2 linked regions of the Styela clava genome follow. The protein of the gene in region 1 interacts with the protein of each later gene in a pairwise test. Links are inferred from orthologs where the notes say so. Each region holds a gene or a part of one and is shown on either strand. Other genes may lie near its edges.

Evidence for each region. The genes of interacting proteins can lie anywhere in the genome.
Region 2: the proteins of importin-13-like (region 1) and paired box protein Pax-6-like interact in a two-hybrid assay, tested with the Homo sapiens proteins (2 studies listed by BioGRID and IntAct). The link is inferred for Styela clava from reciprocal best matches to the Homo sapiens genes IPO13 and PAX6.

Annotation. Positions count from the first base shown.
Region 1 is NC_135257.1:5,485,686-5,492,718, forward strand, and holds the start of importin-13-like, read right to left. Parts: upstream 3,012-7,033; 5' UTR 2,946-3,011; coding exon 2,811-2,945; intron 1,788-2,810; coding exon 1-1,787. UniProt on the Homo sapiens protein: Functions in nuclear protein import as nuclear transport receptor. Serves as receptor for nuclear localization signals (NLS) in cargo substrates.
Region 2 is NC_135254.1:16,097,490-16,105,361, reverse strand, and holds the start of paired box protein Pax-6-like, read right to left. Parts: upstream 3,039-7,872; 5' UTR 2,899-3,038; coding exon 2,778-2,898; intron 1-2,777. UniProt on the Homo sapiens protein: Transcription factor with important functions in the development of the eye, nose, central nervous system and pancreas. Required for the differentiation of pancreatic islet alpha cells.

The sequences.
Region 1 (7,033 bases):
AAACTTGCCAATATCTCTAAAATATGAATAATGCTGTTTTTAGTTGGTCCTGATGGTGGATCTTCCGACAATGCTCGCAACTGGTGCATATGAAGCATGAGAACACTCTGCAATCGTCTTATGCATTCATCTTCTGATAAAACAGAAAGCATATGACCGACTGATTGCATTAACCAATTGACTTCATTGTTTTTCAAAATTCCTTTAGTTAATGCATCTTGAGCTGTACCTAGTATTACTTCTGCTTGTGGTACAAGATGTTCTTTACATTCTCGAGTTATTCTTTTCAAAGTCAGAACAGTGGTCATTGCAAGATCATGCGTTCGTATGCATGGAAGAACAATAGGAATCAATAAAGATAGATACTGGGGGTTATACACCAACCATTCAGTCAGAGCTCCAATAGTGTATAGAAGAGTATCAGCCAATGTTAGATTTTCTACTTTTATTGTTGGCAAAACCTGTGAAAGTTCATTCAAACAATCTAAATCAACATCCCAGTCTGCCATTGATTCAACCACAGAATGTATAGCAAATAATATAGATTCAGTTTCCTGCCATTGGTAATCTTGCTTCTCATGCATTGATTTAACACTTTGTAGAAGTTTACCACAAAGAAAACGTACCATATTTGTACCAAGCATTTCAAGAATATACATTAATGTATCAGAAATATCAATTCTGTAAATTCTATGCTGCTCTTTTTCATCACTCGACCAGTCAGTATGTGAAACAGAGACTGGATAGCTTGACTTCTGTACCAATGTCTCCACCAAATGATAATAAATTGGCTGGATTTGAGGAAAAATAGACATATCAGATTCCGGTAAACTTCTCACTTCATCTTGTAAAGAATACCAGAAAGTAAAGGTAATTGGGCTTCCCATTTCTTCAGTCGGATATTGTAAACGAATACCGGTACATTCGGCAACCATTAAAACAAGGCCAAGACCTATTTCTGGATTGTTATAATTCTCTAAAATCAACTTGGTCTGATTTTCTGCAAGTCCGCTAACAATTTTTGTAATTCCGATACAAACATCTGCATCTTGATCTTCAATTGCCTGATGAAGCATTGGACGAAGTGATAAAACCTTAGGAATGATTTCCTTTATTGTATTCACATACTTATGAATACCTGGTGAGCAAAAAGTATTTAAAAGGCATTCAACACAATTATCAAATAAATCAGGGTCATCAATAAAAGATATAGTTTTATGAAGAATGTCTTTATATTCATTGATCGGTATTCCAAGTATTACCCAGCTTGAGAAACATTTCAAAATTTTTCCATGCATTTCATTGAAATCTTCAGAATTCATTAAATTAGAAAGTAATGGTAGAACGTGAGGCATTCCTTGAATTAACATGTGTTTAACAATTCCTTTTTGATATTGCTCCATTGTTCTGCTGTGATGTTCCTCAGCTAGGACAGCGAGGATTTCCAGTAAAGCTGAGCATCTTTGCATTGGAGATACATTGGCAGTTTCATCTTCTTGTAGTCTTTTAATAATATCAGAAATAACTGTGTCCCATTTTTTCATGAGTACGCAATTCATAACAAATGATGAAAATGCTACGCAAATTCTGGTTAAAATGATACGATTTTGTGGAGATACACATAAGCGAAGAATCTCAGAAAAAAGTCGTTCACGTAAACTATCAATTTCATTTTCAGGAACTTCATTCCACGATCCTGATATCTTTGAAACCAAAGCGCTCGCTCCAAAATATTGAACTTCAGTCAAACGGTTTGGTTGCAATAGATCCCATGAAAACTGCCAAGCCTAGAAATAAATAAGTTAAATTATTCTTCATTATAAGACCAGATGTTGATCGCATACAATGGGGCAATGCACAAATATATATCGACACCTCAAAACCAAACAGTGCTAAGTCCACTTTTCCAAAAAATGACATTTTTCAATTGCTGATTTTCCTGGACTTAGCTCTACATTTTGGTCTATTTGCCTTATCTCTAGGTGCTCTAGATCTCAAGACAGCTATGGACATAACCCTGCTTTTTTTAGGGCATTTGAGAACTAAACAGAGCTGTGTCTACTATAGTGGACTTAGCTCTGGATAACTGCATTGTAAGTTGGGGCTAAGTCCGTTTTTTGGACATAGCTCCTCTCAAAAAATATAATACAAAGCGCTAAGTCCATACCAGCCTCTAAAATAACATAATAAAGAGGCCCTAAGTCCAATAAAATTGTTTCTGGTCCAGGAAATTGAGAGTCAAAAAGGGTTAAGTCCAAAAAAACCATCCCCCAAAAAAATTGGGGCGGAGCACAAATTTTTTTATACCATCTAAATATGGCCTTCATTGTCACTTTGGTGGACCATAAAAACTAGACATCCTCGATGTAAGGTATTAGAGAAATAAAAAAAAGAAACAAAAAAAAAAACGTTTTTTGCGTTTTTCTCAAAACTAGAAAAATGGACTTAGCCCAATTTGGATTTCATGCGTCGATATAGCCAGGCTACTGCGGCCTAATTACAGGTTGCACTCACTGAATCAATTAGTAAAAAGTTATGAAATTGCTCAATCAGTCAAGTCTGTCTTGAAACGGTTGGAAAATTGAAAACAGTAGCTTCATTAGCTAAGAATTTAGCAAATTTTGTCCCAACAACAAAAATAATAAAATACCTATTTTTAATCTGTTATAGTAATACATCTGAGAATCTAATTCTCGTTTATTATTTGGGAAGCTACTTGAGGTTGAGTTCCACTACTTGATAATAACATTTGCTCAAATTGTTTTATCAGATTAAAATAACCAGTGAATAGAGCTCTTAATATATGGTACTTGTTTTGATCTTTGGGCAAATGTTAGCCATCTTTGTGCTGTGTCTTTTGTAGATGAAACAGGATCATAGTACAGTTGATGTAATGCCTTTTCAATGTTATCCACAGTAAATTCAGGCGCATTATCGGTGGTCATATCCGTAACAACAACTGAACAAGTGCTCTGGTCTAGATGAATTATCTTAGTTGGTAAATATAAACACTGTAATAGAAGAATAAAAGATGCAAATTATGAGACAAGAAATTGTAGTATCTTGAAATTTAGAAAATATGTAAGCACTAATGGACGAAATCCATCCCTCAGAAAACAATTACCGATAAATTGAGGAAATGGGATAAAAAGGTTATTTTTCCATTAAAAACAAAAATTTATTAATAATGGCCCGAATACTGGCATCGATTATGATATACCAAATTTTCAGACAACAAACTGAAATAAACATTTATGAGAGGAAACTGGCCACAGACGGTATGTAGGTATCAGTTGGGGTTACGCAAGAATAACTCTTCCTCCATGCTTTTGCTCTCGTACATTTTTATGTGCATAATGCAAATAGGCTGTAGCAGGAATAAAGATGACTGTGATATGTGATTTAAAAGCTTGCTGCAGTTGAAATATGCGTGTCTGAAGAAGTTTGATCCTGGTCAGGAAAAATCTTACAGATATAAAATAGTGTTGTATGCAACGAAACTCTCTAATCACATATAACACAAGCAATTCACATAATTCCAGGTTTTACATGACATAAAGCTCCGACAGTGTAACAAAAAACAAGATGGGACTATCATAAATTCTTCTTCTCAAGATAAATCTCAAGTTAGGGATGCAATACCTAATGCAACATATCCATTAAATACATAGGTACCTAATATGAAAATATACCATCTATGATATGCATGAAATACATGAAGGCCTGCTAGTTAAACTATTGAACTATAATAATGGAAATCGTACAATGTCAAATATATTCATGACTTTCTGGTTTAGCCACCGATAAAAAAATTTGAATTCTGTGCTATGAAAATTGTTAGTATATAACATCATGGTAACTCTTCTTCATGATGATGTCTGCGATGCTTACGGTGCTTATGATGCCTCCTTTCTTTTTCATTATCTCTAGATCTAGTCTTTGGTTCTTTTTCTACCTCTGCTTGTTGTGGCTTTGATTTCTCACTTTTCTGCTGATTTGCTTCATCGTCTTCTCCGTCCTTTACAGTTTCCTCATCCTCTACATTACTAGATACCTTTTTTCTTTTTACAATTAAAAATAAACCCACAAGAGCTATAACTAAGAGGATAGAAAAAACGACTGAAAGTATGGTACCCATGCTACTACATTTCTTCGTTTCTACTGCACTGTTAATTTTCTCCTCATTCGATCGTGACTGGATAAATCTAGCACTGCTTCTTAAACTTTGAACTTTAGCAGGAAGTAAGGTGGACACACTTTTCTTTAAACTAACTTCATGGAAGCTAGGGGTTGAAGTCACTAAAACAATGCTATAATACCAATCATGATTCAGAGCAAATTTTTTAGATTCATAATCATTACTAGGTGAACCATCATTACCTATATTACAACTACTAAGTGTGCTTTGATTAAGATATATATCAATATACTGTCCCTGTATATCTGATCGCTTCAGAGCTGCTGCAATGAAGTCTTTATTTAATTCGTTTGAACTTTCACTTGCTTGCTTCAATTGCTTTACTGAATATCCTGTACTTGTACTAGATAGCATTCGTTTTTCCGTTGGTCGCATTATCAGGAACAAACAACTGATTGGCCCATTCTTTTCTTTTGGAATAGTTAACCTTAATGAGTATTGTCCATTGGACATGATCATGAGACCTGGGCTTGGGATAAAGTCGGGGCCTGATGGTTCTGTTGTACATTCCCCCTCCGCTTCCACAGCTTTGCTGAACCTCCCACAACCTGCGGTCTGCACCGTCACAGTGTATCGCCGATTTGACTCCACTTTGAAGGAATACTTCGTTTCAATCTCAATGTTAGCAACCATTTTATCAATATAAGCATCATCATCAGCGTCTAGGTCACTTGCATGATTTGATTTCACCACAATTTTAAAACCTGTATAATCTTCCTTCGGCATTTTTTCCGGAATCATCCACATGACTTGGCATTCTTTTCTATCGGTATTGTACTGCATTTCAACATCTGTCGGACTTGTAGGTCCACCAAGAAAATAAACCTCTGGTATAACACTTTTCACTGGACCACAACAACAAACTGTCGTGCACATGCTGAGCTCAATTCTGTAATTTGTATATGGTTCAAGTCCATCCTTTAATTTAGTGGTTTTGGGAATACCCATTTCTCCTGCACGGACTCTATAAATTAGCGGAGGATCATCAAGATGAGTATCAAGGTTAATCAGTCGGAAATTATAATTAAAACTTGAAGATAAAAAGCTATCAGAATTCCAAGTAATGCTAATAGAATCTGCACATTTTTCGTTGGTTTCGGGTTGTAGTGTCAAAGGCCGTTGTTTATTTTTCAAAGTACACAATGCATGACCTTTTTTGTTACAATATTCTAAACTGATTTTAAATGGATCATCTTTCATCACACCTGCACACATTGGTGCTCTGTAGGCAATCTCTGCAGCCTCCTTCATTACCACCAATGCCTGTGCAGACCAGTCTCCAAAGAATCTGGTAGTTTCGTCATCATATCGAAATTGATCAGGTCGTTCTAATAACCCCAGCCAGTACAACTCGCTTTCTCCCAATTTATTATCACCATTGACGAAATTTGCAATAGCCAGTTTGGTACCTTCATCATAGAATTGTGCTAATTCCATCTTTGACTTTTGACATTTTTCTTTAGCCTCCTTACGAGGAACAAACGCTTCTTTAAGTGGATTGATAACTGCAGATTCTGACCCATAATAACCACCTGCCTTCATGTTGCAGGTATATGCAGGTTGCAGGTACTGAAGTGCAATCCATAATATCCCAATCATGCCTGTGATTTTAAAAGTCATTTCGCCAGTGCATTGAAAACAGAAGTCTAAATCAAAAATCTGATAAAAAAAAGGATAGTACATGCTAATTACATGATCTGATCAAGATTATCTGAGTGCACCAGCATATGAGACTTGGTGAGCTATTCGTTCGTTTATCAATATGCTTGTCAAATATGTGGGAAAAATTTATTGTGGGCCTGTAAATAATGGTTGACCTCTTCATGGGCTTCGTAAAACCAAGAGTTTGATAACTCCGGACCTAAGCCAAGTGATTACTAAATTAAGTATCAAAGTATTATTTTATAAAATATACGCCACTATGACATCACAGTAACGTAATAACTAATAAGGCCCTCCAAACTTCATTAACTGTCACCCAAGATGAGCAGACTATCACCCGAAATCGAGCAGACTACTTCTCTCATTTTTTATCGTACCGATCCTGATATACAAGAGATCGCTATCGTTCAGACGTTTGGTGAGTTTGTTATCGTTTGAGAAGATGCCATTTTGAGTGATCGTAGCTATCAGGCTATACTTTAACAAGCTCTTTGATGTAATGAAAAAATCTTTGGCTGACAGAGCCAGGTGGGGATTAGGAATAACATATGGCTGTGCCCTGTTAAATAGAAGCACTTACGTCGTTGAGTGAACATGTGTCAAGAAATCATATATTCAAACCAGCAAACTTAATAGAGCTAATGCTGCCAAATAATATGTGGTCATAATCTAATAAATACTACTGTACTAGCCTATAATATGATCAGTCAATCAAATTTATTCTGGTCCCTCTGGTATAAAACAAAACTAAATGGACAAATAAAATACAGAGGACCTGAAAGACGAGCATAACTCAAGAAATAGTTGAAACTTACAAGTACGCGCCCGTCTACCAAAACAGTTGAAGCTCACAATTAATAAATACACAAGATACAAAATCGAGCAATAACTTGGAAGTTGAAATTCGATTCAAGTTGGCCAGAGTTTCCAAATTCCAAGAATGTCCCGATATTGGTTCAATAAAACAAACACTCCATGCGTCTCACAAACGAGGGGCGTCTACCATAAATGCAGATCTGTCATATCGTGCCATGCTTGTCTCATATATAATCTAAATTATTCGCAGCTGTCAAGTGCCCAAAATTGCCATTTTTTCTAAAAACTCTTGAATGCCACAGTAAATTATTTTTCCCAAGGAATTCAATGATGACGTTTTTAAATTGTGTTTATTGA
Region 2 (7,872 bases), on another chromosome or scaffold:
ATAATAACACGCGAGTTCCCACAATTATTAGGATAAAACATTTAATCATTCCGTAAACTAGTAAGCTTATTATATTTATGAACGACCCGAAAAGACATTTTTAACATCGTTACTTCGCGCCCAACTATGATCGAACATAACTTCTCGGTTTGGTGATATATATAGTATAATAGGATTTAATTTTTTTAGATGACTGTCGAACAATTCCATTTGAAATAAAGATTACAAAGCAGGGTGCTGGTAAATTAGGATAATCTCAAGGTGTCTAAGGGGTTAATCTGCAACCCACAGGTTAATAGCTGATTAGTAATATAGAATATTATATTCCAAGATCTTTGAAATGATTTGATAGTTTTTCTTTCAGCTATAAGACAAAGACTACTAAGATTCCCCACACGTCTGAAAAGCGTGCGCTACAATCTTTGTTATAACCGAAATAGAGAATGATAATAACCGAAACGCTCCTATTGTGTAAAAATAATAAATCTTTTTTTTTCCCTAAAATTATAATAAATGTTGACTGGTTTTCACGTATGACTCCAGATTTAGTTGAGAGGGGGCACACTTGTGGGGGTAATCATGGCCCGGACGAAAAATTGCATAGCTAGACTCGGCATATACCCAAAAGTTATTTAATTAAAATCTCAGAAGTAGACTCAAAATTTAAAATAACTCAACTATTCAAATAGCAATAATAATTTTTGACAAAGTTTTCCACCTAATAAATAAAAACAATTTTTTTTTCAAAAGATAATTCTTTGTTTAATCGACACCTGTGAATGCAAGACCACCTTTGCTTTAATCTAGTTCGTAATTTATTAGGCCATTTGTAAAATCACATATACAAAAATATCGACTTATATCTTCAACTCGTGCCTGATAATTAACAATTTGTCGTCTCGTCGTTAAGCGAGGTAAAATTGAAAATTGATTTGCCTAAATAGACTTAGGCTACTGGTCAATAACAAGTATTTTCTCTAAGAAGCATTGCGAGTAACCTTTCATTATTAGAATTTTTTATTTAGAATCGATTGGGAAGTATCATACCGTCCTTCATATAAACAGATTGGGATTTACACATTCATATTTCCAAAATGGCATTACCGGGATATTTAACAAAATATTTGTGAATAAAGCAAATTGCAAAAAAGACACAATTGAGATTATTTCAAATGTAACTTGATTTGGATTATTAATTTCACCTATGTCCACCTAACTCGAAATTTATTAATACGTTTTATCTATAATTCCAAACTTAACTTGGGATAACTAGACAAAATCTTAAGGATTTGAATTCTTAGATTTATTGTTGTGGGATGTCGTAAACAAGGTATTTTGAGTAGTGCAATTAAGGCCAAAAACTATATCTTAGTCCATAAAACAATAAAGTAATCATACATACTGAGTATCATTATACGTTAAGTTTTTCTTAGCTGCCAAAAACCCTGACCGTAAACAATAGTTTTATTTGCGGCGCACTGCGGGATACCTCGTAATTTATCCTTCCATGAGAAATTGTACTGCAGTTTTTTTAACGTAGCCCATAACTATTTCTGATAATTTTCTAGAGAAACCTAGATTGAAAATGACTATAAAATATGGAGAATTTCTTAGAAAAATTATCCACGAGGATTAAAATCGAATAGCTTTTAATTTTTTTTGTATTATGAGTGTACTAAATTTCTATGTTGATGAAACAATATTTCCAAATTCATGACAATCATTCAAAATCAGAAAACAATTCTGATCTGAGCAAAATATGGGTGTTATCGACGAAATATACCTATATTGTCTTAAAAATCGCCCCTAAAATGTAATTTATCACAAAATGGTCAGCGACAATCAATTTTACATAAAACATGTTTATTTTGAAATTGTCTGTGAGAAGTATGTAATAAAATCAAATATTGTTCTCATTGATAAGCGATTTCTGGGACATCTATCATGATCCGGTTTGTTATATTTGTTTGTTTTTCGCGATTTCAAACGACAAAACATATTTCGTTGAGTGGTTTCTATAAGATGACATATTTTTACATAACGTTTGGATATATTGAGCAGCTGTGGGTTATTTTAGAGTTTTAATTCATTCAATGTTATGTGAATATTGCTGCGTTTTCTGGTTTTGTTGAAAAAAAATTGGTGATAGATCAAACGTTGTAAACACTCAAAAACAATAATAATAAAACGCGATTTTTCATGGGTTGTACTCGATATTGGTATTTTGAACTAGCGTGAATTTGAATTTATTCTTCCAGTTTTAATCAAAGTTTCGAAAACATCGTTTACAATTTGATTGGTATTTATCAACCAAAAAATGTTGCATGACAATATATATGAATATGTATGAAAACGGAAGTTAGCTATTTTTACCTGATATATTTGCCACAATCGCAAGTTACTTCATTGGTGATAGCTTACTAGAATTACCGCTTGTTTTCATTAATTTGCCCATTTTCGGTTTCCATAAATAGCATTTTATCACATTGTATATACAACAATATTGCGGTTAAATGGAAATCAAAATCAAACGTTTTAGCGCCAGTTATCAGTGTACCAAAGATTGGTTATTGTTTCAACATACTCATATATATTTTCTATATCTAACACCCCATATTGTCAACCACTAACGCAAGACGTATGTCTTTATGATAACGTAATTGATTTTTTTTACAAATAAAGATTAGACGATAGCAATGATGTATCCCTAAACACCATAACACATATAAAATACATGCCTTATCAAATAGCCAGTCTATGATCGCGTATTTGTTTACCTGTATGTGATAAACCATCACCTCCGAGACACAATGCTACTGCTGATGAATATGGTGCTTGATAAGACGGCATATGAGCTGACATCATCGGTCCTTGGTGACAAAGTTGGTGGGTGGCCATCTCTATACAAAAGGCTGACCAAAGAACGTTGTTTTTCCGAATTTGATATTCAGTCGATTGCCGATGGTCAGAAGCAAATGAAATTTAGGTTTACTCGACTTTTTGTTTTGAAACTAGGATAATACAAAAGAATTAATTGACCTAAAAAGATTTCTTAGTAAAAGTAAAAACATAAAAACTGGCACAAGCAGGGCAAAACATGGTTGCATCTGTCGGTTTTAAAACTTATCATGCACCTATTATCCACTCATGGATTATATATCGTAAAAATCTAAACTTTTAAGACGTATACACTTATTGTACTCTTACAAAATACTCCTTTCTTTCCCATATTCTGTGCTATAAATGCAATTGTTTAAAATTTCGCATCAGCGTTTTGCGTTTCTGCGTCACTCCCTCGCTACCTTTTTCATTCTATGATTTTGAGACAAAATGGCGGATTCTATCATCCGTTTTGCTCACCTCGAAGTAGTTTTGAAATCAAACTTTGTTTTTTTGGACTTCATTTTGTTTTGAGGTTAAATGCGAAATACAAATGTAATTTCATGATATGCCTCGATGGCCAATAGAACCATAAAAGTATATAGCAATCAAAATCGTTTAATCAAATCGGAATTAAGTAATCGAAAGATTGTGTCTATTTTTCCTATTTATTCTATCTATAAACAGTTATTTCTCATTTTATTGAATTATGTCGCAGCCTTAACCTTACCCGATGTAGAATTCACGGTGTTTTCTGTACAATGCATTGTGACAGTGATTTGCTCTAACGAGCAAAATTCTAAATTGCAGTAAACTACCATGCACAAATTATTAAACAGAATATTGTGCAAATAAAACGATTGTTCGATGAAGTCAACACGTAAAATACAAAGAAAACAAAACAAATATATGAACCAAAATACAATGTTTCTGAAATAAAGCTACCTGCTCTCGAAGGAAACAATAGTACGAGCCATGATTTAAGCGTATCATCCAAACAAAAATTCTCAAACAACAAACCTGATTGATTCGATGTGTCAAAATTTTGTCCTTCTCGTTAGATGCAAATCCTATTTTTGAAGTTACAAACAGTACCAAATTTTTCCTAATTTTGTGACTATATTTAACTCAGTTGTACATACTAAGAATTAACCACAGATAGAATCCTAATAAAGAATAGCACTACACTCATTCTGTCTCTAGTAGCGGGTTAGTTGCTAAATTACTAAATTTAAGAATGACTTTAGCTCAATACCTTTGACGTAGAGTAAAAGCCTTCTTTCAATTATATTACAATCCTCTTTGAATGTAGCGCAGTGTAGTAAACCAAGACCAAAAGAGAATAATCTTCTCTCTCAATACATAACAATAAAAGGGGATTATATTTGGATTTAAAAGAAAAAAATGAAAGAGACCATCAAACGATTTTTTCTTTCATCATAAACAATAACTGATAATTCAACATACACGAAAATCAAAGCCAGTTGTATGACTTCTTTAGTAATATTAAAATTGCCTTTAGAATTCTATTTCACAGCAAAGTCAAATGCAAAATATGTTAAATAATTTTTATTTTCACATCATCCCATAGAGCTAATATTACAAATATTGTTTGAAATGTGGATTGATAAATACTACAGTACTTTAAACAATATTCTGTTTGTTTTTATTAACCCGAACGAGCTCTGATAGAAAATCAAAATCATTACTGAGTGCAAACTTTTGATGACGATTTTTAACACCACGATTCTTTGGTAACAATATGGCGGATATCTTCTCGAGTGTTCCAACTTGTCAAATATTCTCGCTTTTTATTATGACCAAAAACATGTAGGCCTACATCATTACAGCACATGTACAGCATAAGCCACCCTTTTTAATACGTATGTTTATTTTTATTTGAATTTTTCAATTACAAACGAAACCTCCACTAATACAGAAATCATAATATTATATCGTCTCTATATTTTGATACATATACCTTACGCCGCTTGCTTTTGACACTGAAATGCTAGAAATGGGGGAACGACCACCTATGCATCAAACTTGATTAACTCTGCAAATGATGCATATATAAGAATTACTCACTAAACTGACGAATTCGACAATTTTAATCCAATTATATGGGTAAGTGACGATGTAGAAAAAGAAAAAAATTCATAAAGGTGTGCAATTTTTTCTCCGCGTAGTCTGGTTAACAATCAATATACAAACAACGAAATATTATGCTAATTGAGAACGACTATAGAAATTTCATGAGAAAATCAGACGATCTCTAGACTCGTGACATTTTACATATTAATTGTGGGAACGAAGGTGGTCTCGAAGGCTCAGTGTGACGCGGAAGGCGAGAACGAGGCCGCGAAGAGAGACTTCATCCCAATACCTGTCTATCCCGGGGAAATACGAACCAACTTCTCCCCATTCTCAAATTGCTTCGATGCGGTGGGAATTACTTGTCGCTCGCGTCTATACTTTTCGCTTTGTTACGCTCCACGGGAAGCCATTTTGCTTTTTGTGATCGAAGAACATTGTTTTCTCTTTCGGTGTTCTTGTTGCCATTTTCTTGTTCCTAATTTGTTTTCTTAATGGAACAATTAATACTGAAAATGATGTGATTAAGACGTTGGAAATCAATTGTCTCCCGTGACGTAATAAATTGCTAAATAGTTAGACTATCATTCAGAAAGCGTGGGAATAAAACACATTATTACGCGAGGAAGCGAAAAGTTGAGGGACTTCAAAAAGTTGATTTAAAAAAATTCCGATTTTGTGATGTGAAAATCACATATTACCGGGGAAGCCTGCAACCACTGTAGTGTTTATTTTTTATTGCAGTGCAATTGGAAGTATTGCATTACAAAATGGAACAGTTGTAAACCTATTTATTCTCTTCAATTTGTTTGCAACCAACTGAACAATAACAATATTTCAACAATTATATATATGCAATGCATCGGGTCTTCACGTATATGATTCAACACATGCAATAAAATACACAATCCTCAGTTTTAATGTTGGAACGTCATACATTTATTCTGTGTTATCCTGATAACGCCTGTCTCCTTATATAGTATAACAGTTATACAAACCACAAATATGCAATGGTCAACCTGATGGAAGGAGTTCGTATCCGTAGACAAGTATAGAACTGGCCTTAAATTCTTCCAATCTCGTTAAAGTCTTTACGATTACAGACTTTGTAAACACAAAACCACATATTTCATTGTTTTATACATCTGACTAAGACTAACTTGAAGATTGTAATTTTGGTAGTAGCGCATTCAATTTATGTTATGATATAGAGATTTCTTTGTATAAGTATAATAAATAGTCCAATAGTCGTTGATTTCGGTGTGTGTATTCCTATTTGTTACCTAAATTAAATGCTGGGAGAAACCTAAATGTGTTGAATGTATCGCACACGTAGATATTTGGAATATCGTCACGCTAATACCCGAATTGCGTAAGCCATTTTTGGCGATTTTGAGTTTTTTTTTTATAAAATAGGTATTTAGGTAATGCTGCGCACCTGTCTGTTAACTCAGATTTCATTTTAAGAATCCCGAAACCCATAAAAATGGAGATTTAGTATGACATGACATTTATGCAATTGTTTCGTCATAATGAATCAGCATTGTTACCGCAGAACTATCGTCACAAAGGCAAAATAACCTCGGGGAAGTATTTTCGAGTTTTTGCATCTCGGATTCTAGCTTAGCGAGTATTAATTTGAATTTATACTACAGTATAGGAAGGCGTGCACTTGTGATATTCACTGTCCGAGTCCAATTCACCTTGGTTGGCTTTTATATTGGATGCATTGCTGTTTTATTCTTTATATTTAATCTTAGTCTTATTTCGGTGGGTGGGCAGAACGTGTTATATTGATGAAATTTATATTTTTTAAACATAAAAAATAATGTAATTAAATCTGATTAGCTATTTTGGGGATTAGACATTGTAGATACTGAAAATTACATTAGTTTTTGGAATGTTTAGTTTTCAGGACTGGTGCATATAGTAAAGTTGCAAAATTGCGTATGTCCCCAAGTCATACACACATTTCTGCCTAAGTCACAGTGCGCCATTATGAAGTCACTTAACTGCATCATACAGATTAATTTATCAAAAAATTGAACCATGGCAAATTATTGACTCTCAATGGCATAACAATATCATTAGGAAGTTTTTTACGTTTTTCTCAAAACTGCTAAAAATGATTTACGCAATTCGGTTATTAGCGTGACGATATATAGCCACACAAATCGCCAACACTCTGCTGCTTATAGCGCTGGCCAACTTCAGAGGAGGTGAGTAAATAGAATCGGTCCATACTGGCTTCTGCCCAAATATTTCATTTATATAAACAAAATTTATCTTGCATGTTACGAATATTACGAAATATTTAGTAGAGTTTGAGTATTATAATATTATAAATACATACAAAGCACTTTGCAAAATAGCATTTCGTGCTGAACTTTAGCAAATATGTCTCTCACATGTGATGAAAAAAACAAACATTTCAAAATATTCTATAAAATTGCACACACTAAACCACGTTATTTTACCAATTCGCCACACCCGATTTGGTCATCATGTCATAAACTAGTTTGTCAATAACTTGAAATGTTGCTGTCAGTTTTTGTTTTTATTGTTATTTCAGTCATCAGGATTGGTAAGTATAATAATAGCTGTTTCTATTTGTAAAGTTTTTACAATTCATTCAGAATATAATTACGACCGATTGTGAAATTTTGTTTCTATATCTCACAATCTCAAAATTTTACGAAACTAAATATATTGATTTTTGTCTCGGCCTTACCAAGAATTCGGTATTTAAGTTGCAGTGAATGCAGCTGCAATACTGCACCAGATGTAATATTGTTCCGTGGACTCCCTGTATCGAGGTCAAATTTCGTAAGTATCCTGAATTCAGCAGTGTGATTCAAGGGGTTCGAACGGATTTGTGCGAAGCCGTTTTTGATAGGG